Callithrix jacchus: one gene and its partners. The protein of the gene in region 2 interacts with the protein of the main gene of each other region in a pairwise test. Links are inferred from orthologs where the notes say so. Each region holds a gene or a part of one and is shown on either strand. Other genes may lie near its edges.

What was found. The genes of interacting proteins can lie anywhere in the genome.
Region 1: the proteins of CEP70 (region 2) and TRIM29 interact in binary tests that used the Homo sapiens proteins (3 or more experiments, as listed by UniProt). The two-hybrid records come from large-scale screens. The link is inferred for Callithrix jacchus from reciprocal best matches to the Homo sapiens genes CEP70 and TRIM29.
Region 3: the proteins of CEP70 (region 2) and C16H8orf33 interact in binary tests that used the Homo sapiens proteins (3 or more experiments, as listed by UniProt). The link is inferred for Callithrix jacchus from reciprocal best matches to the Homo sapiens genes CEP70 and C8orf33.
Region 4: the proteins of CEP70 (region 2) and LENG1 interact in binary tests that used the Homo sapiens proteins (3 or more experiments, as listed by UniProt). The two-hybrid records come from large-scale screens. The link is inferred for Callithrix jacchus from reciprocal best matches to the Homo sapiens genes CEP70 and LENG1.
Region 5: the proteins of CEP70 (region 2) and EMD interact in binary tests that used the Homo sapiens proteins (3 or more experiments, as listed by UniProt). The two-hybrid records come from large-scale screens. The link is inferred for Callithrix jacchus from reciprocal best matches to the Homo sapiens genes CEP70 and EMD.

What each region holds. Positions count from the first base shown.
Region 1 is NC_133511.1:19,784,295-19,788,565, reverse strand, and holds the start of TRIM29 (tripartite motif-containing protein 29), read left to right. Parts: upstream 1-1,471; 5' UTR 1,472-1,554; coding exon 1,555-2,358; intron 2,359-4,271.
Region 2 is NC_133518.1:45,772,877-45,777,027, forward strand, and holds the start of CEP70 (centrosomal protein of 70 kDa), read left to right. Parts: upstream 1-1,351; 5' UTR 1,352-1,527; intron 1,528-1,841; exon of another isoform or gene 1,842-2,003; intron 2,004-4,151.
Region 3 is NC_133517.1:52,665,663-52,669,778, reverse strand, and holds the start of C16H8orf33 (UPF0488 protein C8orf33 homolog), read left to right. Parts: upstream 1-1,316; 5' UTR 1,317-1,348; coding exon 1,349-1,354; intron 1,355-1,442; coding exon 1,443-1,751; intron 1,752-1,913; coding exon 1,914-1,998; intron 1,999-2,147; coding exon 2,148-2,294; intron 2,295-2,858; coding exon 2,859-2,988; coding exon of another isoform or gene 2,989-3,004; exon of another isoform or gene 3,005-4,116.
Region 4 is NC_133523.1:47,340,471-47,344,479, forward strand, and holds the start of LENG1 (leukocyte receptor cluster member 1), read right to left. Parts: upstream 2,801-4,009; 5' UTR 2,778-2,800; coding exon 2,646-2,777; intron 1,599-2,645; coding exon 1,419-1,598; intron 508-1,418; coding exon 245-507; intron 1-244. Other genes in the region: voltage-gated chloride channel TMC4, read right to left, coding at 3,379-3,447, 3,542-3,620, 3,877-4,009.
Region 5 is NC_133524.1:150,171,788-150,175,893, forward strand, and holds EMD (emerin), read left to right. Parts: upstream 1-1,306; 5' UTR 1,307-1,439; coding exon 1,440-1,521; intron 1,522-1,645; coding exon 1,646-1,753; intron 1,754-1,901; coding exon 1,902-1,979; intron 1,980-2,192; coding exon 2,193-2,326; intron 2,327-2,761; coding exon 2,762-2,808; intron 2,809-2,889; coding exon 2,890-3,217; 3' UTR 3,218-3,624; downstream 3,625-4,106. UniProt on the Homo sapiens protein: Stabilizes and promotes the formation of a nuclear actin cortical network. Stimulates actin polymerization in vitro by binding and stabilizing the pointed end of growing filaments. Inhibits beta-catenin activity by preventing its accumulation in the nucleus.

The DNA of each region.
Region 1 (4,271 bases), on a different chromosome or scaffold from region 2:
AGGGGCTGTTTTTTACAAAGGATTACCTTTGTTAAAGGTCTGGTCAGCCAAAGGGGCGGGGGCTTCCTGACTTGACCTGGATTTGAGGTGAAGGACGGGAAACCCACTCCCCTCCACATAGCCCAGAACCTGCCATGCCAGCCTCACCAACTGTCTTCTCTGCCCCACCCAGCCTGGCCCTGGAGAGGCATGCCCTTTCCTTGGGGGTTTGGAGGCTTCCCAGGATGAGGCCAGTGGGTCAGAGCCCAGAAGTGACTTTCGGGGCATATCCTACAAGAGCTGAGGGTCCCTGGTGTTCTGCAGGGGCCAGGGAGGGGAAGGGGATAGCATTTGTTTTCCTCACTTTTCTTCCTGAGGTCTGTATTTATATGATAGTCATATTTGAACCGGTGACTTCTGAGATTATCTGAATCCCACACTTCACTGGCCTCTTTTTGGAGGACGTTGCCTGTGGCCTGGCCCAGAGAGGATGGGCAGATGTTTTCTGAGTCACACAGAAGGGCAAGTGTGGAGACAGGTGAGTCAAGTGTTTGGGCCCTGAGAACCCAACCACCTGGCCTGGCATTGCTTGGATTCCCTTATTCCCGTGCCTCAGTCCTTTGAATCCATGAAGGGTCTGGCCTGCTCTGATAGCAATAATCTAAGGTCTACATGTATCTTATTAGGGCCACTGGGATAGGTCAGACTCTCAGAAGCCATCTTCTGGTGAGATATTCAGGTAACTCCATGACCTCCCAGCTGCAGAAGGGACTTTGGCATCTCAAAGGCTTAGGGTTCAAATCCCAGCTCTGCCACTTGACTTAGGCAGTGAGTTATCTTCTTAAAGCCTCGGTTTTCTCATCTATTAAAAAGGGGTAATTGAACAGGTTTTAGGGATGCTCGAATGAGGTCATATATATTAAGTACCTAGGAATGTGCCTGGAGGTTGTCAAGTAGGGTTCAGTAACCAGTAGCCAAATCAAACGGAACCCATCCTCCCTGCTTGTGGTGAAAAGCAGCTCCACAGTCCCAGGGTGGACCATCTTTCTTCTGAAACTCAGGCCCGCAAATTACAAGGCTATTTGACTTGTGTGACCCAGTTAACAGCCCTGTGCCCCGTAGGCCTCTGCAGACACCTCATCTTCTGCCCCAGGGGCCTCTGGGCTCAGTGAAGCCTGCCCACCTGTGAAGACAGAGGCTCCCCGCTCCCCCGATGAGAAGCAAGTGCGTCAGAGGGAAGCAGCCCAACTGGTTGCTGAGTTGTGGAAAATAATTAAGCTGGGGGAGAAAAAAACACTTCTTTTAAAAATCAGGTTAGGGATGACTGTACAGGGCGTGGCTCCCGTGTAATTATCTGCTCTGCTGGCTGCCGGGGCTGCCTGCTTCTCCCTGGGCCCGTTGTGTCAGGCTTGTACCTGCTGCTCCTCCCCTCCACCTCCTTCCCCTCCTCCTCCCCACAGGTGTGTCTCTGGGCCCTGCGGCTGCCTGCCCCACTCCCTGCCGAGACACCCGCCAGCAAGGTCACCTACCCTGAACCCCAGCAAGCCTGAAACAGATCAGCTGAGCCCCCCTGCGATGGAAGCTGCTGATGCCTCCAGGAGCAACGGGTCGAGCCCGGAAGCCAGGGATGCTCGGAGCCCGTCGGGTCCCAATGGCAGCCTGGAGAATGGCACCAAGGCCGACGGCAAGGATGCCAAGACCACCAACGGGCACAGCGGGGAGGCAGCCGAGGGCAAGAGCTTGGGCAGTGCCCTGAAGCCAGGGGAAGGGAGGAGCGCCCTGTTCGCGGGCAATGAGTGGCGGCGACCCATTATCCAGTTTGTCGAGTCGGGCGACGACAAGAACTCCAACTACTTCAGCATGGACTCGTTGGAAGGCAAGAGGTCACCGTACGCAGGGCTCCAGCTGGGGGCCGCCAAGAAGCCGCCCGTCACCTTTGCCGAAAAAGGCGAGCTGCGCAAGTCCATTTTCTCGGAGCCGCGGAAGCCCTCAGTGTCCATCGTGGAGCCCGGGGAGGCGCGGCGGAACAGCTACCCCCGGGCAGACACGGGCCTTTTCTCCCCGGCCAAGTCCAGCTCCGAGGAGGTGCTGTGCGACTCCTGCATTGGCAACAAGCAGAAGGCGGTCAAGTCCTGCCTGGTGTGCCAGGCCTCCTTCTGCGAGCTGCACCTCAAGCCCCACCTGGAGGGCGCCGCCTTCCGAGACCACCAGCTGCTGGAGCCCATCCGGGACTTCGAGGCCCGCAAGTGTCCCATGCATGGCAAGACTATGGAGCTCTTCTGCCAGACTGACCAGACCTGCATCTGCTACCTCTGCATGTTCCAGGAGCACAAGAATCACAGCACCGTGACAGTGGAGGAGGCCAAGGCCGAGAAAGAGGTGCGTGCTGGGCCCCTCCTGCCCCTCCTGGCCTCTCCCCTCACCCTGACCCTCCTACCTTATCTTCTCCAATGGGGCTTCCTGGTGTTTGGGGTTTAAACCTCTACTGTCCTTGGCTCTTTTAGTAAACATTTATTTCCCTTCATGCCCCCTGTTGCCCCTAACCCCAGCTGGGGATCAGAGGTGGCTCTCCAATCCCCTAAGGTCTCAGGAGACAGGGGTATTTTCTAGATGAGCAGATGGAGACTCAGAAAAGATTGGGGGCCTGATCAAAGTCATAGGATAAATTCAAGTTGGGTCAGAGAGTAAGACCCAATGGCACATAACTCACTCCTGGGCTCTGTGCCTGGCTGGGTGTTCCTTCTCCTTCTCCTTCTCCTCCTCCCTTCTCCTTCTCCTTTTCCTTCTCACTTCTTCTCTTTCTTCTCCTCTCCCTCCTCTTCCTTCCCCCCCCCCCCGCTTCTTCTCTGTCTCCTTCCTCTTATTCTTATTTTTTCTCTTTTTTTCTTTCCCTCCCTCCCCTTCCCTCCCCCTCCCTCCCTCCCTCCCTCCCTCCCTCCCTTCCTTCCTTCCTTCTTTCTTTTCTTTCTTTTTGGCTTTAAAGAAGAGACAATTCCTCCAACCTGAGTGGGATTGGCTCCTGAGGAATGGATTGTAGGTGAGTAAAGATACCAGAAGGAGAGAATTTTGGGGCCCACCAAAATGTCCTTTCTGCTGTTTTGCAGTTTTTATTTGTGCTACAGTGGCTGCTTGTTCTAGCGGATCCCCAGCTGGTCTCTTGACTTCTCCACAGCCTCCTTTATCCGTCTCTCAGCTGGGCCCCGCGTTTCGCGTGTGTGGTTGGGTGTGGACACACCTATTCCTATAGCTGGACACTGTTGGGGAGGTTTGGAGTTTGTGTGTGGATGGTGTGTACATTTACAGCTAACCCTGACTTAGGATGGTTCGATTTATGTTGGTGTGAAAGTGCTATGCTTTCAGTACAGTATTCCATAAAATCCAACACTTTATTACAAAATAGGCTTCGTAGTAGAAAATTTTGCTAAACTGTAGGCTAATGCAATTGCTCTGAACATGTTTAAGGTAAGCTACGTTAAGCTATGATGCTTGGTAGTCTAGGGTTATTAAATGCATTTTTGACCTATCACATTTTCAACTTACAATGGGTTTATTGGGAAATAACCCCATCAGAAGTTGAGGAGCTGCATATGTGTGTATTTTATGTGCACGTGGGTGTTTTTGTGCCTTTGTGGATGTTTGCCTGTATTTGTCTATGTGATATGTAAGTGTGTTTGCATGAGTTTGGTGTATGTGACTGTGCATGCACTTCTATGGGAAGGAGCAGAGGCGAGTGCAGGCTTGTGGATGTAGCATACCTGGGGAAGGTGATTTGGACAGAGACCCCAGCTGTGGCCACTGCCCTGTGCCCCACAGATGAGGGGGTCACTCTACCCTAAGGTACATAATTTTCTGGTGTGGCCTTCCAGGGGGCAAACCTTCCTGGCCTTTAAAGCAGTGGACTCCGCTTTTCTGAAGAGCTTCTGCACACCGCAGATCTGAACAGCGCAGGACTCCTCCTTGCCCAGCCTTCCTGATCAGGGGGAGCTGCTCCTTTAATCCTCTCTCCCTTCATCTCTCACCCACACCCTGCCCATCTGGACAGAAAGGGGGGAGGTAGAGAGGGGAACAGATGTACAGATCCCTTCCTGAAGCCTTGTTTGGCCCAGGAAGACGATGTTTCCAGCTTCTCCCATCTTCTGACCCCAGCGTGGCCTCAAGCTTTGTTGGGAGACAAAGATGGGACAGGGGCCTTGAAACTCATTCTTAGAGAGCTTTGCTGTGAGGTTATGCAGAACAAGGGGCCGTCCTCCTCATCACAGCAGCTGAGAAACTGCAGAGCCTCAGACAAGGTT
Region 2 (4,151 bases):
TTACCATTGTAAACTCCCCCACTTATAAATCTGACTCAGCATCTAGTTCAATCCCTGGTACATAACAGGTGCTTAACAAATTTTTATAAATGAATGAATGTTAAATGAATGTTTACAATGATTAGAATTCTAGTGGGTGGATGAGGCCCATAGAAAACTCTTGAGACCAATGTGGCAGGATTCTCAGTGAAAAACTAAATCTGTGTGCAGGATGCTTTCCTTCTCTAGCAAACAGAGGTGCTGGAAAGGCTTTCACCATCCATAAGAAGGGAATTGTTTTGGAGGGCAATGCTATAACACCTCTTCCCCTCCATTGATCACATAAAATATCCAGTTAGAAAATAGGAATCAGCCTTCTTGTGCTCTGAAGACATGAAGGATACTGGTGATAATCCATCTAGCATCCATTCTCCTCCCTTACAGGTCTCGGTTTTATTCAAACAGACATGCCTCCACCTTGCAACTCATGTGACTCAAAGAGCACTGACACCACTGCCAATTCCAATTGTCATAGCTCCTTTTCACTTCCGGAACCCAGGCTTAAGCTTCTGTACATTTCCCAGGCAGTTACTAATAAAGAGGCAGAGTGTGTGCCTGTGTGACCCAATTGGCTTTAAAAACCAGGAGGAAGGGTTTTAGATGAAAAAGAAAGTATGTGGTCCTGATTTCTCCAAGTAAACACCTGGAAAATCACGTCAGTATGAATTTGAAGTCTACCCTTTTCTACAACAGAGCAGAGAGACTATAGCAACTGGGTCTGTGGTAACTTGCTGAGCCACTGAATTAATCAAAGTCTACCTTGCCTCTGGTCTTTCTGTTATGCGAGATAATCAACTTCCTTATTTTTTAGCAAGACAATTTAACTCAGATTTTATATCACATGCCTCCAAAATAATCATAACTGACCCAAATATGTTTGGCCTCTACAATCAGGGCAGCCATGCTCAGAAGAGTGCGCAAGGGCACCCTATTGTCTTGGAAAAGGCAAGCACTGAGACTATTGCCTTTTGAGAACTGAAAATGCCAATCTGCTAATCATCCTTAGAGTGAATATCCAGGTATGAAAAGCAAAGGGGGTGGGCATAGGATGGGGCAGGGACACGTTTGCCTGGGTCAAACACAGAGATCAAAATTAAAAGTGGTCCCATCTGCCTGGAAGAAGGCTAAGAAGGGTCTGAAAGTATTGAGCTCCAAGAGCCCTTGGACCTTCTGGTGAGACACCCTTGGCTGATGCCCTTGATGGGACATCCCTGTTGGCTGCTGTGGCACCTGCATCCACTACAGACCTACATTATTTGACTAATTTGAAAAGACAGGTTGTCAAGAGCGACACCATGTGGCTATAATACACAATGACAATGGTGGACAGCTACAGCCCGAGAGGCCTGACGCTTCATTGAGAAGTGGAAAATGCTGAATGGAAAGATGAAATGTGATCAACAAACATTTAATGCGGTCCTGCAAATGTCAGCTGCTACAGTGCTCAGCCAGGTCTGGAACATCGAGAATATGGTGATCCGTACTCTGGTAAGAGCTCGCAGTCGCGGCGGAGTAGAGGGCGAGAGAGAGGGCAGTCTCTGGTGGGTAGGTAACCCAGGCTTCACTTTCACCCACGACCACAAGTATTTTTTACGTCTTCCGGACAAATGAGGCTCCATGTAAGTGACAGGGGAACCTAGGGAGGGCTATGAAATGCGCCAGCGTGCCAGCGACCAGCGCAGCGCAACGAGGCCTACTTTTGCGGTAAGCCCCGCCCCTAGCAGCTGAGCCAACCGGAGGGCGCGGGGCGGACCCAGCCTCCCCGTGAGGCCGGAGAGAATCGCTTGCGGGCTTTCGCAGGCGGAGAAAGGGCCGGCCCTCGATGCGCTAGGGCTTGATTTGCCGCCCTCCTCCGGCGGCGGCAACGGTCGCGGAGGCGGCGCCTCACCTAGCTGCGCGGGACCTCACCTAGCTGTGCCAGCCTTAGTCGGGGAGCTGCTGGTGGGAGGCGGCGACTGAGGAAGGTGAGTGGCACTCGGGGCTCTCAGAGGCGCCGGCATGAGCCCCTTTCCTGGGGCACCCCGGGCATGACATCACCTAGGCCTAAAAGTGGTCAGACTGACCCTTGTCAGGGAGGAGCCGCCTGGGACAGGGTCGCGCCTATTAAAAAAATCCTTGCGTAAGGGTTTGGGGATCGGACAAACCTAGTCCCAGCTCCCCAGCCTTTGTGTTCTTTGGGTTTTCCTTTAATGTCTCAGCGCCTCCGAGTCTTTATTTGTATACTAAAGCTGGTAATTCTTGCCTTACAAGGTGGTTGTGAGGGTTAAATGAGGCAATAAGAGTAAAACTCAGAACCGCACCGGGCGCAGACTCGATTTGGGATAAGCTGTAGGCAATTACTCCATCCCCCAAAATCGCCCCGGGCTGAAGCGCTCGGTTTGTGTCAAACAACTGCGAAGGTTGTTTAGGGAGTGAGGACTCGGAGCAGAAGGGGGCTGTTAGTCGAATAGCGCAGGTGTCACTTTCTGCGGTTTATTAAGCTCATTCCGGATTCAGAAGACCTCTGACTTTATACAGAGCCTAATAGGAGTCTTTCCAGGTGAAAAATGTCAGAAGGTGAAGACACCCGTAACAGAGAGACCAATCAGAGTTTCCTGCCACTGTGTTTTTCGATCATAGTAATATTAAACAGGCCTGGCGCGGTGGTTCACCCCTGTAATTCTAGCACTTTGGGAGGCCGAGGTGGGCGGATCACCTGAGGTCAGGAGTTCGAGAACAGCCTGGCCACCATGGTGATACCCTGTCTCTACTAAAAATACAAAAATTAGCCGGGCCTGGTGTTGCGCGCCTGTAATCCCAGCTACTCAGGAGTCTAAGGCAGGAGAATCGCTTGAACTTGGGAGGCGGAGGTTGCAGTGAGCCGAGATCACGCCACTGCACTCCAGCCTGGGTGACAGAGCGAGACTCCGTGACAAACTCACTCTCTCTCTCTCTCTCTCTCTCTGTGTATATATATATAAACTGTGCCGGCATTACCCATATTGGTTTCAATCTTCTGCTTGAGTTTTGTACTTTAAATATTGCCAAGTAGACTCAGGCCTCCCCTGCCCCACCTTTTGGGGAAGAGGTGACTGACTTAGCGTCTTCCCAACAGCTTTTGCTTTAAAGCAAGGTTCTGCCCCTTTGATGTCACCTCTCCTGGGAGAGAATGATTTGGTTGAGATGACATCCCATTTTGCTTCTTTTTCCTATTAGGGGTAGGTTCAGCTCTTTCTTAGGAACATTAAACAGCAGGTTGCCATATTTTTTTAGAATAGAAGCTTTTGTATTTAATAAGCAGTGGAGACTTCGAAAGGGTTACACGTTTTCATTTATTTTTTCTTTTTTTTTGTACGCATTCATTTATTGTAGTAATTTTAAGTATATACTTTTGAAGACGCTTAAAGATTTTGGTGTGATTCAGTTGAGAAGGAACAGTTATTGGCCATGGTTGTCAGCTCCCCTCCCCCACCCCAAATATGAAAAAAATAATTAAATTTTAAGGTGTGGAGCACGTTACAAGGGGCTTCAGACCTATAAAGGGCAATTTGGCTGAAAGACTTGGGAAACCTAGAAAGTGCCAGAAGATACAATTATGTTTTTGCTTTTCTATGCTTGGCTTACTATGCCATGTACAAACCAACTCCTATCCTTCAACTCCTACCGCGCCCCCCCCCCCCCGAGTCTTATTTTAAGTGTATTAACGACAGTAATTAGAGCTATAGCTTCTGTGTTGGCCCTATAAAGCATTTGGTCTCTTCCTGTGACTTTAAAAGTTCTAGACCTGTGTCCTGTCACAGCCTATAGTGGGGAAAATGTTGCTGCAAACTGTTGGCCCATTTATTTCACAGAATGGGTCTCTGAAAAGGAGGGCTTGGTCATAGGTGCAAATGAGTAGTTTTCTTCCTGGGTTTGCTTTTGTGATCAGTGGTAGTTTGTCTGAGGATGCTTCATTTTAGTACCCTTGCAAATAAATATCCTACCTGTGAAGCCAGAAGTCAGAATTGACGATAGATGATGATAGATTTGGATAGCCAGCTAAATGCCTCAACAAGGTGGGGAGAGAAGAGAAGGGGAGGGGCATATGATGGTGAGCTGGGAAGGCCATTAGCAGTTATTTCAGTTGTGCCTGC
Region 3 (4,116 bases), on a different chromosome or scaffold from region 2:
ATGTGTGTGGGAGCTTGCAGCAGGCGGTGGGCGGGGGTGGGTGGCAGTGGAGATTATTTACAAAATAAATGGATAGGACCTGGTGCCTGGGGAAGAGGAAGGAATTGGGTGTGAGGCCCGTGTTCAGGCAGATGTCTGGATTGAGAAAGTTTTCTGGAAGAAGCAGTTTTGGATCAGTCAACCGAGGCAGAGAAAGGCCCTTTTGGAGATGGAATGCACTCCCTCCAGTCTCCTGGGACTAAAACACAAACCAAACTGTGGTGGTTTTAAAACGTCTAAAAAGTCTTCCTCTCTCATGAAGCAGCTTCATGAGAGACCATGAGCTACAACCACTAGCCACACTGTTGCTAGATCCCTGACCCTCAGAAAAGTATGAGGTAATATGTGTTGTTTTCAATCCGCTGAATTTTGGGGGTAATGTGTAAAACTACTGTAAATAACCATCAGTGACGACCAAACTTTTGCCCTCTGAGACCCACCAGAGGCAGCTAACACTCCCCCCACCCCACCCCCACCCCCCGCCGTCTCAGGAAACACCACTTTCCACTCTTGTGTCCCCGACAGGAATCATCAGACATCGCTGACTCTTACCTTCTCAAGCAACACAACCCACCCTCCTGGCGCCTCACTCTGCCTCACCTCAGCCTCTAGGCAATATCTCTCGGTTGTGAGGCCTTCATTGGCGGGGGTCGAGTGTTGTATGTGACCCCAGGTCTCCAGTAAGACATGGTGGGAGGGAAGCAGCCTGGTGAAGGCAGGTGGTGGGATGGGGCTCTCTCCCTCTTCCCCATGCCGCCACCCTCCCTCACGCCCATATCCCGTCCAAAGCTCTTCCCGCGTCTGTTTCTGAAACCCCTCCACGTCCCCCTCCACCTCAGACCTCACCCTAGCCCCCGCGTCCCGCGACGCCAGCCTCTCACCCCACCGCGCCCTGACCCTCGCCGACCGAGCATCGCGGGCTGCACCGGGTCCCAGGCCTGTGCCTCTTCCCCAGCTCCCAGAGGTTTTTGCCAACCACCCTCCTGCGCCACAGCTGTTCATGTGCTGTTTACTTGCTTTTCCCTCCCCACCAAAAGGTGAGCCTTGAGAGGACACACCCTTGCGTAGAGCTTTGAACTTTTATCCGGAAAGGTGCCGGGCACATAATCAATGCCCGCGAGCACTCGCTTACGAGGGTCCTCCCGAGACCCACCGCAGCCTCTTCCCGGAGCCCCGAGGCCCCGCCCCTCACGGCTCCGCGCCCCGCCCCGCTTGCGCCCTGCGGGACCCGGAGTCACAGGCGCGCTTCTGTAGGACGGAATTCGGCGTCGGACTCTGAGCCTCCTGGTTCCGGTGGCGACTGCAGCGCATGGCGGTGAGCGGTGTGGAGAAGACGGGAGGGTGGCGGGACCTTGCAGCGTCTGCGGCCCTAAGTGACCCTCGTGCTGTTCCCCTTTCTCCAGGCCCTAGGACATCCTGCCGGGGAGGCAGCGGCGGCCCCAGGCCCGGGTACTCCCTGCGCGTCCCGCAGACACCTGCTCCCCGACCCGGTTTCCAGCGCCCGGAATCCTTCCGCTGTCTGTCTCTGCCCAGGGCAACCCACGGGCAGTAACACCGTCTCCAAAGTGCACCCGTTAGGCGATGAAGGCAGCGCAGCGTCGAAAAAACAAAAGAAGAAGAAAACCCGGAACAGGGCCTCTGTGGCAAATGGAGGCGAGAAGGCCTCAGAGAAACCCGCCCCAGAGGAAGTCCCCCTAAGCGCTGAGGCCCAGGCAAGGGCGGATATCAGTCGGGAAGGGTGGAATCCCGGGTGCCAGTCCACGGGCTCGTGTGGTGTGGGTCCACGAAGTTAAGGCGGGGAGGGGGATGGGATGGGGCCAGGGGCTCTGGTGTCCCAGGGCCCTCTCACAGCCACTTCCCCCAATCCATCACAGGCACAGCAGTTGGCCCAGGAATTGGCTTGGTGTGTGGAGCAGCTGGAGCTGGGCCTCAAGAGGCAGAAAGCCACTCTGAAACAGAGTAAGGGACCCTTCTGTAGAGTTAGGGGATGTGAATATTGGTACTGCCTGCCCTGCAGGTGCTGGCAGGGGATGGAGTTGTTGCCTTTGCGGTGGGGTGGTAGGAGCTCAGTATAGAGATGTTAACTAGTCCTTTATTTTTATTCGCAGAAGAGCAGGCTATTGGAGCAATCCGAGCCCTGCGCAGCAAAAGAACTCCCCTGCCCCAGAAGAGGCTGCTGATGCACTCCTTGTTTGGAGACTACAGGGCTCAGATGGAAGCCGAATGGCGTGAGGCCCTGCGGGCTCTCAGAGGTGGTGAGGAGCTAGCAACTGGTTGATTCAGAAGTCTTAATTTAAGGAGGAAGTATCTGGGGAGTGAAAGGAAGAAGGCCCAGAGCAACAAGGCTGGTGGGGGAAGGAGATGGGCTCAGGGAAGGCTGAGAAAGCAGGGAGAGATAAAGCATAGACCTCTCTTTCTCCTCTTCGCAGGACTGAACCTGGGAGGCAGTGGGGAGGTCCTGGGAGGAGGGGGAAAGAGCTTGGTCCTGTGTTGGTCTTGCTCCTGGGTTGGGGAAAGCTGCCTCATGTCTTTGTGTTGTGCCTTTCTCTACTGGCCATGAAGTCGTATCCCATAACGCTTTGAGTGCAATTCCTGGAGCCATATGAACTAGGGTCTGTCACATAGTAGCACTAACACATTTTGTAAACTACTGAATCTCTCTAAATGGGGGGTGATGGTAATATCAACCTTACAAATTTGAGGAATTAATCCATTAATTTATGCAAAGTGGTTGGAATTGTATGGGCAAACATACTGTACAGATAATGTTAGCTGTTATTATTCAGTCCTGACATACTTTGCTTCTCTCCCCCTGACAGCTGCTTATTCAGCCCAAGTGCATCCTGTAGATGAAGCCACTAGAAAGAAGAGCCAAAGGGTCTGCAGGCCTCGCCCTTTAGGGAGAGCCGAAGCCACTCTGGAAACTGCTCTGCCTGATGAAGAGTTTAGGTTCAATTTCTTTTAGCTTCTCCCCCAAGTTGGAACAGTCCCCCTCCCTTGGTGTGATGTAGGGATTTGTCTTGAGTGCAGAGTCTTTCCAGTACTTCTGTTCGCAGAGAACCCTGGGGTTGGTCTTTCCCTGCCTGGTCCAAGGATTTGGAGCTGTTTTGCAGGTGTGAGACCATCAGACAGGCACAAGACCCCATTTGTTTTCTGATGAAATGTTCCCTCTTCCAGAAGAGAGAGAGAGGTGCAGTTAGAAAATATACAATAAATTGAAATGAGTGTTCAATGTATTGTAGAAAGAATATTGTACTCAGTCTTTAGAATTAGATTAAGTGGCTGTTGGTCACAAAGATTAGTTGGGAATCTATTTAATCATACAGTGGTTTTCACTTTTGGAGGGAATCCCTGTTACGTGGTTTAATGCTTTATGCTGTTATGTCACATTGTCTTAATCTCTGTTTTTGGTAAAATTGGGTAAGGAGTGAAAGACCACCTGTGTTAGAGGAAGTACAGAAGATGCAGGGGTCTAGTATCTCTGGGTCCAGGCTCCCACCTGGGTCCTTTGTCCATGTTGCCTTCATTCCTGACCAGGTGTCATCCTCAGGGAACCAGCATGGCCCCCACCAGGCCAGGCTCTGTTCTTAGGAGCAAGGAGCTTCTTGCCTTAACAATTCTGGCCTGAGACCTGGATTGAGCCTCAGTGGACTTCTTGTCTAAATGTTGGCCATGTCAGTCTCAGGTCCTCTGTTCCGTGGAATTGTGAATCTCCAGGTAACCTAATCCTTATTGGTGGCTCAGTATTTGCTGGTGTCTCCCAAACTCAATTTCCAGACCTGGACCCCAACTGCCTACTAAACATTTTCACTGGGGTATTTCATAGGCATTTCAAACTTGATATATTTTTTTAATTGCATTTTAGGTTTTGGGGTACATGTGAAGAACATGCTAGTTGCATAGGTACACACGTGGCAGTGTAATTTGCTGCCTTCCTCCCCTTCACCTATATCTGGCATTTCTCCCCATGCTATCTCTCCCCAACTCTCCACCCTCCGCTGTCCCTCCCCTATTCCCCCTAACAGACCCCAGTGTGTAGTGCTCCCCTCCCTGTGTTCATGTGTTCTCATTGTTCAA
Region 4 (4,009 bases), on a different chromosome or scaffold from region 2:
AGAATGAGTGTGAAAGGCAAACAGTGTTAGGAAAATAGGCTTGACACCACGGCACCCCCCGGAAAGGGAGTCAGGACCCCTAGGGCTCCCTGGACCACATGGTGAGAACCACTTTTCCACCCAGCCATCCCTTCACGGGGTCCCTGGCTGTTCCACCCAGAGCTCCTGCTGTGCCTGTGCCAGGCTGCTGCCAAGCCCTGAAGATCTGGGTCCTGCTCTGCCAGGGCAGGGTCCTCCTCCTCACCCCTTGGGTCGCTGTGTCTCAGAGCCATCCTTTTCCTTTCTGCTGTGATTGCCTTCATCACTGCTGTGCCGTCTCTTCTTCCCCAGATGCTTCTGCATCTCCCGCAGAGGGTCCAGGCGGCTCTTTATTTTCTCATCTGGGGCTGGGCCAGGCGGGGGACCCCCTCGCTCTGGTGGGAGCTGGTACCAAGGGGGTTGAGTCTGGGCCTCGGCTGCACTCTGGCCCAGGTATGTCAGGATGCCCAGAGCTTTCTCTTGTCTCTCCTGAGGGGTCAGGAAATAAAAGAGATGGGATATAATCTTTCAGGGTGTCAGGTTTATCTCCCTGACACAGGTATCTAAGGCCTATGGTGAAGCAGCTGTGCCAGGTGCTGGGGAGGGAAGAGACCAGCAGAGGCCAAGCTCCTGCCCTGGGGTGACGATAGCAGGGACAGTCACAGAAAGCAGAGGAAGGAGGGGATGGGGTGGAGCTGCCTGAATGTTCAGAGGCAGGCATCTTTGCAGGGAGCAAGCAAAGCAAGAGGACCCGTGGGTGGGGTCAGCAAGTCCAGAGACAGCAGGTGAGGAACAGGAGCTTTTACACTCGATCTTAGCCAAAAGGCAAGAAGTGATTGATTCACTTTTTTTTTTTTTTTTTTCCTGAGATTGAGTCTCACTCTTGCCACCCAGGCTAGAGTGCTGTGGCACGATCTCAGCTCACTGCAGCTTCCACCTCCTGGGTTCAAGCGATTCTCCTGCCTCAGCCTCTGGGACTAAAGGTGCATGCCACCATGCTCAGCTAACTTTTTTTGTATTTTTAGTAGAGATACCATGTTGACCAGGCTGGTCTTGAACTCCTGACCGCGGGTGATCTGCCCACCTCAGTTTCCCAAAATGCTGGGATTACAGGCATGAGCCACCACCAAGCTGATTTAGATTTTTAAAAGCTCATCAGGTTTGAGACCCCTCCAGTTTGGAGACCTGAGCAGTTCACCTAGCAGCTGGGGATCTCGAGCATCTACCTCCAAGCCCTGAGGGCACCCAAATGGCAACAGCCACCACTTCTGAGTGTGCTTTGGTATGGTTCTAAATTCTGAGTGTTCACTCTTGTTTAGCCTTAGTCACAACCAATGGCTAAAGTGTCCCTCCCCCCAGCTCCATTCATGTCTCTGATGAAGTAGATAAGGCCAGCTTACTTTCTCCTGTCGCTTTTCTTCCTCGTGCTCTTTATTGCCTCTGATCAGGCCTTTCCCCTCCTCCAGCAGCTCTCGAAACAGGTCCACAGGGCCAGAACTTGGGGCTCCCACCTCTGCTGCCTCAAGCTCAGGCAGTGAGTTCTGATGTCTGGCTTTCTTCCGTAGGAATTCTGTACGGGCCTGGGGAGAAAGTTACAGGCAAGACATTAAAAACCTAAAGGTAATTCAAGAACTTTTAAGTCTGGTGCGCACCACAGGAAACAGCAGTCCAGGGTGCTGGGTTTGTAAGAAAGGGGGCACCTGTCCTAGCAGGGGTGAGGGTAGGCAGATAAGGCAACACCTGGGTTTTGTAAACTGCCTTTCAAATAGTAAACCACACATCAAGGATGGCTGGGAGGAGGTCCCTGGCCTAAACCAAAGGGGTTCCTAACCTCAAGTGAGACAATTAAAACAGCTATAAAGGTAGAACAAACTGCATTAGGTCAGATGATCTGGATTCCAGGCATGGCTCCAAGTCATTACCCCAAGTCCATTGATGAAGCCCGGTCTCCCACCTTCAGGACAAAGCTCTCAGCAGCCTACTGAGATTCTAAAAACCCAGACTACCTCCCTCCCAGTGTGGAGGATCAGACTGGCTAAGGAACTGAAAGTTAGGTGTACACCAAACAGATTTAAGGAGCTATACATAAAGCCCATGTTTGTGTGTGTGTCTGGGGGTGGTGCAGGGAAAGGGCTCGCCCAAGGGGGTGGAGACTTCCCCTCCCTTGACGCCATCTCACTTCGTGCCACGGAGATGACAATGCCTCTTTAAGAAAGAACGGTGCTTAAGGGGGATTCTGGAAGTCAGGCGTTCTGCATGCAGTTAGCATACAGTAACTGCTCAATAAATAGACTGTGCAAGCCAACTAGAAAGTGATCCGAATTTCCTCAAACTGTCCAAGGAATCCTGAATTCGGTAAACATTTATGCTTCTCTTTTGTGCTAGACACTGCTCTAGCCATGTGAAATACATCAGTGGGGGGAAACAAGACGAGGGGGCGATCAAGGGAGATTTCATGCAAGTGGGCACAACGTTTGCCGAGCAACGTTTCGGAAAAGAGGTCCGCGCCGGGTCACGAATTACATACGGGGCACACGGCGCCTGCGCAACGCGTCCACTTCCGGCCCCCTACCATGGCGCCTGCGCGCTGGGCCCCGGAGTTCCGCCCGGCCGGTTCCCAGGCTTACCTCCTGCTGAGCCAGCAGCACCCTCCGCTCACGCTCCTTCTCTTCCTCCCGGGCCTGGGCCTCGTCACGCCGCACGCGGGCAACATTGTCCTTGTTCCGGACGTGCCAGCTCTTCTTGGGCAAGATATTCATGGCGTCGTAGCAGTCCACGGACTGGCACGCCCGCCTCTCTGCACTTCCGATTGGCGAGAGAATGCCCCTTCCCTCTTGTCCCTACTTCGACCACAGATTGGTTCTTAACTCATTGGTACGGCCCCCTGGCCTGTAACGACAGGTGATTGGCTAAGACGCCCTTTATCTCAGCGAATGCCAGGCTTTTGGCGCGTGGTATCCCCTAGCAACCGCTTTTCACATATCCGAGCCAATCGCAAGTTGGCCCTCCCCTAATGCCAGATTCGGCCGCCGATTGGCCAACACAACCATCAAGTCTCCTTGCGGAAGAGCACTTCGAACGGCCACACATTCCCATGCATTTGATTGGCTCCCGCCCTGATGTAGCCCTGCCCCCACCTTCAGGACGCAGATTTCAAAGCGCGCTCAGTCACCTCGGCTGTGTTTATTCATAGAAGAAAGATCACCCGAGAGTCTGGGACGTGGCGGCGAGGGTCTCTGGAAACCTCCAGATCCTAGAGCTGGAAGAGCGTGGGGTCTTCTCTAGTTCTCCTAGTTTTACAGATGTGACCTAGGCTTACAATTGGCCTGGAGTCTGAAGGTGGGACATGGGCTGCAGGGGTCAAAAAGCCGGGTGGGTGGAGCTCAGCGCCACAGCGCGCCGTGCGAGGAAGACTTTGTTCTGCGCCTCCTGAGGCAAAGAGAGGTGGAGGTCAGACAGCCCTCTCCCCCAATGCCTTTCAATGTCCCCCACGGGGTCCCTCTCAGGGACCCGCCTGGCTCACCGTCTCTCTCTGACGTTTGAGCTGAGAGATGAGACGACCGTAGGAGTTAGCCAGAGCCACAGTGTACGCCATCAGGATGCTGGAGGAGACACGAACAGAAGCCACTCCTGACACGCTCCTCCATTCTATACAAACCCCTGGCTCCTTCAAAGCCAGGATGTCATCTACAAGGACTTCAGTCTCCCAGCCCAGGAGTCCTAAGTCCCACCCTCCTCCTCCTCCTCCTTTGGACCCTAGGCCTCCTCCCACCCCGAGCCTCTCCTCTCTCCGACGCAGGTGGTGGCCCCCAGATCACGTGCATTCAAACCCAGACCCAGAAGTCTGGGCAAACTCACCTGGAAATCAGCAGAAGGGGTACAGCAAAAGCCTGAGTCCCCAGGAAGAAGAGGAAGTTCTGGGCGGTCTCAGGGAGGCTGGAAATAGACTCAGGGATCTGGGCCCAGATGGACGACTGCCCCCGGAATGGAC
Region 5 (4,106 bases), on a different chromosome or scaffold from region 2:
GTGACAGAGCGAGACTCTCTCAAAAAAAAAAAAAAAAAAAAAAAAAAAGAATATCACCTCTTCTCCATTCTCCGTAGGGCAGCCCTTATCTGATCAAGGTCCTGGGAATCCTAGCCACAGTCCAGGCTCCTGAGCAGGCCTTGGCAGCCCTTCCATAGCTCGACACCCACGTCTGCCCCCTGCCGGGCTATGCTGGGCTCAGGGGCCATTCCGACAGAAGAGGAAGCCCCACTTCAGCTCCCGCCAGTGCCCCGGGTGAATGAACGACATGAAGCGTTAGGCTGGACACACGTCATCTCTGCACACATCGCACAGCGCCCTCTGTCCGCGCTCACTGGCGTGCTCGCTGGCTTGCCCGGGCCCCTTCGAAGGCTGCTTGCTCCTGGAGTGCCGGCGGCCTCCTGGCCCAGTGCCCCATTTCCTCCCGGGTGGAGCGAGGTAGGAGAAAAGGAAGGAGGGAGGCGGTGGGAAGCAGCGAGCATATGTGCACGGGCGACAGCCCTGCAGACTGGGAAGGTGGGCCCGTGGCAGGGGGTCTGCGAGGACCGCGTAGGCGCGGGCCTTGCCCCACAGCCGCTTCCCAGGTGATGCGCACACAAAGCTCCCTCAGTAGTGCCTAGCCCGGGGCCGGCGCTCCCTTAGGGTTCAGACCCTTCCCGCCGCTGCTGGGGCGGCCGACCCGGATGCGGCCGGGGAATCCTACGCCCTGGGGCCACGGGAAAGGGGACCAGGGCGTAGAGAAGGGATGTGCTGGGACGGTGGGGAGCCCAAGTGACTTAGGGACCAGAGCCACCGCTAGCGCCCACTTAGGCCGCTCTCACTTCCCGGCCGGCAGATGCCGGGTGTTAGACACACAGGCCCCGCCCCTCTCTACCGACTGGCTCACGCACGCCTCAAGGTGACGTCTAGGCTCCCAGCCGCACCGCCCAGACTCCCGTGCGGGCCCCACCCCCAACAGCTCCGGGCGTTAGTGACGTACGGACTCGCGACCCCGCTCGCTCCCACCGCGACACCTTCTGCTCCGCTCCCGCGCGGGCCCCGCCCCCTCCATCGCTAGCCAATCCGTGTGTTTGTGACGTTGGGCTTGCGGCCCCGCCCACTCCCACCGCGAGACTGATTCCCACTGTCCTGACTCTCGGCGCGGGCCCCGCCCCGTCCGCCGCTAGCCAATCCGTGCGTTTATGACGTTTGGACTCACTGCCCCAGCCTCCCAGCTCCCAAGGCCCGGCCGTTCTGCGCCTGCTGCTCCCGCCGTTAAGCCCCTCCCCGCACAGCGCGCGCAGCCTGCGGAGCCCGAGGCCGTGACGAGACAGTGATTTGGCTGTGACGCGAGCGCGATCGCTCCCGAGGCGCTCGTGCCGCCCCCGCCGTGATCCTCGGCAGCCGCTGCTCGGCGGGTTTTGGCAGGGGCCCGGCTTCCGCCCGCGCCCGCACCCGCCATGGACGACTACGCGGGTCTTTCGGATACCGAGCTGGCCGCCGTGCTGCGCCAGTACAACATACCTCACGGGCCAGTTGTCGGTACGCGGCGGCGGGCAGGACCTGCCCCCGGGCCCCCTCCCCGCGCTCTGCCCCGCGCCCTCCCCGCCACCCTACCCGCGCGCCTTCCCCGGCTTGTGGCCCTGACCGCCTCGTGTCCGGCCAGGGTCTACTCGTAAGCTTTACGAGAAGAAGATCTTCGAGTACGAGACCCAGAGGCGGCGGCTCTCGCCCCCCAGCTCGTCCGCCGCCTCCTTCTCCTATCGCTTCTCTGGTGAGAGCCTCGCTTGTGGGGACCGGGCCTGGGATGCGGGGAGATCGGGGTCGCGAGGGTGTGGCAGGGGCGCCGGTCGAGAGCGGCACCGGGGAGAGGGGAGGGAAGCCTGGGGGGCAAACAGTTCTGTCGCCTCCCTTCAATCCAGACTTGAATTCGCCGTCAGTGGATTCAGATATGTATGATCTTCCCAAGAAAGAGGACGCCTTACTCTACCAGAGCAAGGGTAAGGCAGGGGTGGGGTGGGCACGCTGGCACGTTCACCTGACTGCGTCAGGGACCCCGCTCACAGGGAGGACCTGAGACCTCAGCCCCAACCACTCCAGCAGCCTTAGGAGGGAGAAACTGTCACAGGTCCCGAAAGAGATTCAGATTAGGGCCAGCAGGCCAGGTGGGGCACACCGATGCCCCCTCTGCTACCGCTGCCCCCCTTCCCAAGGCTACAATGACGACTACTATGAAGAGAGCTACTTAACTACCAGGACTTATGGGGAGCCCGACTCTGCGGGCCAGTCCAGGGGCTTCCGCCAGTCTGCGACTTCACTCCCAGATGCTGACACTTTCCACCACCAGGTGAGCTGGCTGGCAGGTGCCCTGTACTTGAGTACAATCTAGGGGATGGCGGCTGTGTTTGGATAAATCCAGGGGGCCACTGGATACAAATGGTGGCTTCTGTGCTTCTGGGGAGACTGGCTCAGCAGACGCCTGTTTGGCCAGGTCCCTACTTTGGGGAGCCATCAGAACTGTGACTAGAGCACCCTGGTCTGCAATCTAGGCTCAAGCTTTTCCTGAGACTCCTGGGGGCAAAAGGGAATAGCAGGGCATGAGCACAAGTGACAAGACCCCACAAACAAAAGACTGAACACCAAGAGCCATTCGGGAGGGTGTGGGTCCCTGGCCTCTAACCAAAGGTCAGAGGGCACCAGCTGGGGAAGTTTGGACTGAGGGATGTGGCAGGGCCATGGTGGCCCTGCCAGTCGGTCCACTCACCCTGACTCTCTTCTGCAGGTGCGTGATGACAATCTTTTGTCTTCTGAAGAGGAGTGCAAGGATAGGTACGTAGAGGGCAGGCCCAGGAACAGGGACTGGTTCTGCACCCAGGCTCCTGGCCCACCTGCTCCCCTCTTTTGCCTCAGGGAACGTCCCATGTACGGCCGGGACAGTGCCTACCAGAGCATCGCGCACTACCGCCCTGTTTCAGCCTCCAGGAGCTCCCTGGGCCTATCCTATTATCCTACCTCCTCCTCCACCTCTTCTGTGTCCTCATCTTCATCTTCCCCTTCATGGCTTACCCGCCGAGCCATCCGGCCAGAAAAGCATGCTCCTGGGGCTGGGCTTGGCCATGATCGCCAGGTCCCGCTCTGGGGCCAGCTGCTGCTTTTCCTGGTCTTTGCGATCTTCCTCTTCTTTGTTTACTACTTCATGCAGGCGGAGGAAGGCAACCCCTTCTGGAGGGAGCCCTGAGGGTCTGGGCTTCAGAGCCAGCTCTTCTGGGGAAGTCCTGGCTGATGGCCTTAGCAGTGAGGGTGGGGGTGGGGGTGGGGGTGGGGGCTTTTGTGTGTGTTCTCGCTTGGGGGGCGCTGGCCCAGCCCAGAGTAGTGCTTGCTCCCCTGCCTTGTCCCACCAGGGAGGCAGCAGACTCAAGCCCTCCATGATCTGGGGGACCTGGGTGTGCTTTCCTCTCTAGCCTCCTGGCCCTGCTTGCCTGTAACCCTTAGGGTCCAGGAGGGCAAGGCCTCGCTCCATCAGAGAACATGGTTATTGTTGTTGTCATGCATGCCTCCTTTTAGTTGTCATCTTGAGGGGATTAACCAAAGGCCACCATGACTTTGTTTTCGTGGACACACAATAAAAACCCCATTTATTTTTAATGTGTTGACTCTTCCTGGAGGAGAGGGTTGGGTTCCCATGGCAAGGGCATCTGGCCTTGCTGGGTCTGCATTTTGGCTTTGGTCTGGGGATAGGAATCAATTGCTACCCAGAAATGTTTGTGTTTTGTTTGGGAGTTTTATTCCCTGACTCATTCCCCAAAGCACGTGTAACTGCTTATACATATAATTGTGGTACAACAAGGTATATACAGAGAACCCACTTGGAAATTCAGGCAAAGCTGCATGCACGCCACCAGCAGTCTGCGGGTGTTTTAACTGGAAAAAGCTGAAGTCCACCCGATTGTCCAAAGGCATGGGGACAGAAAGAAGATGAGGCGTCTCATTGGCAGATCATCCTTGGCTCCTGGAACTGCTGCTTGTTTACCATGGGAGAAAAGCTCCAAAGGCCGCATCATCCCTGGGTGGTAGAATTCACCTGCCTATATTCTCACTTAACTCCCAGATTTTCTGCCCTGGGTATG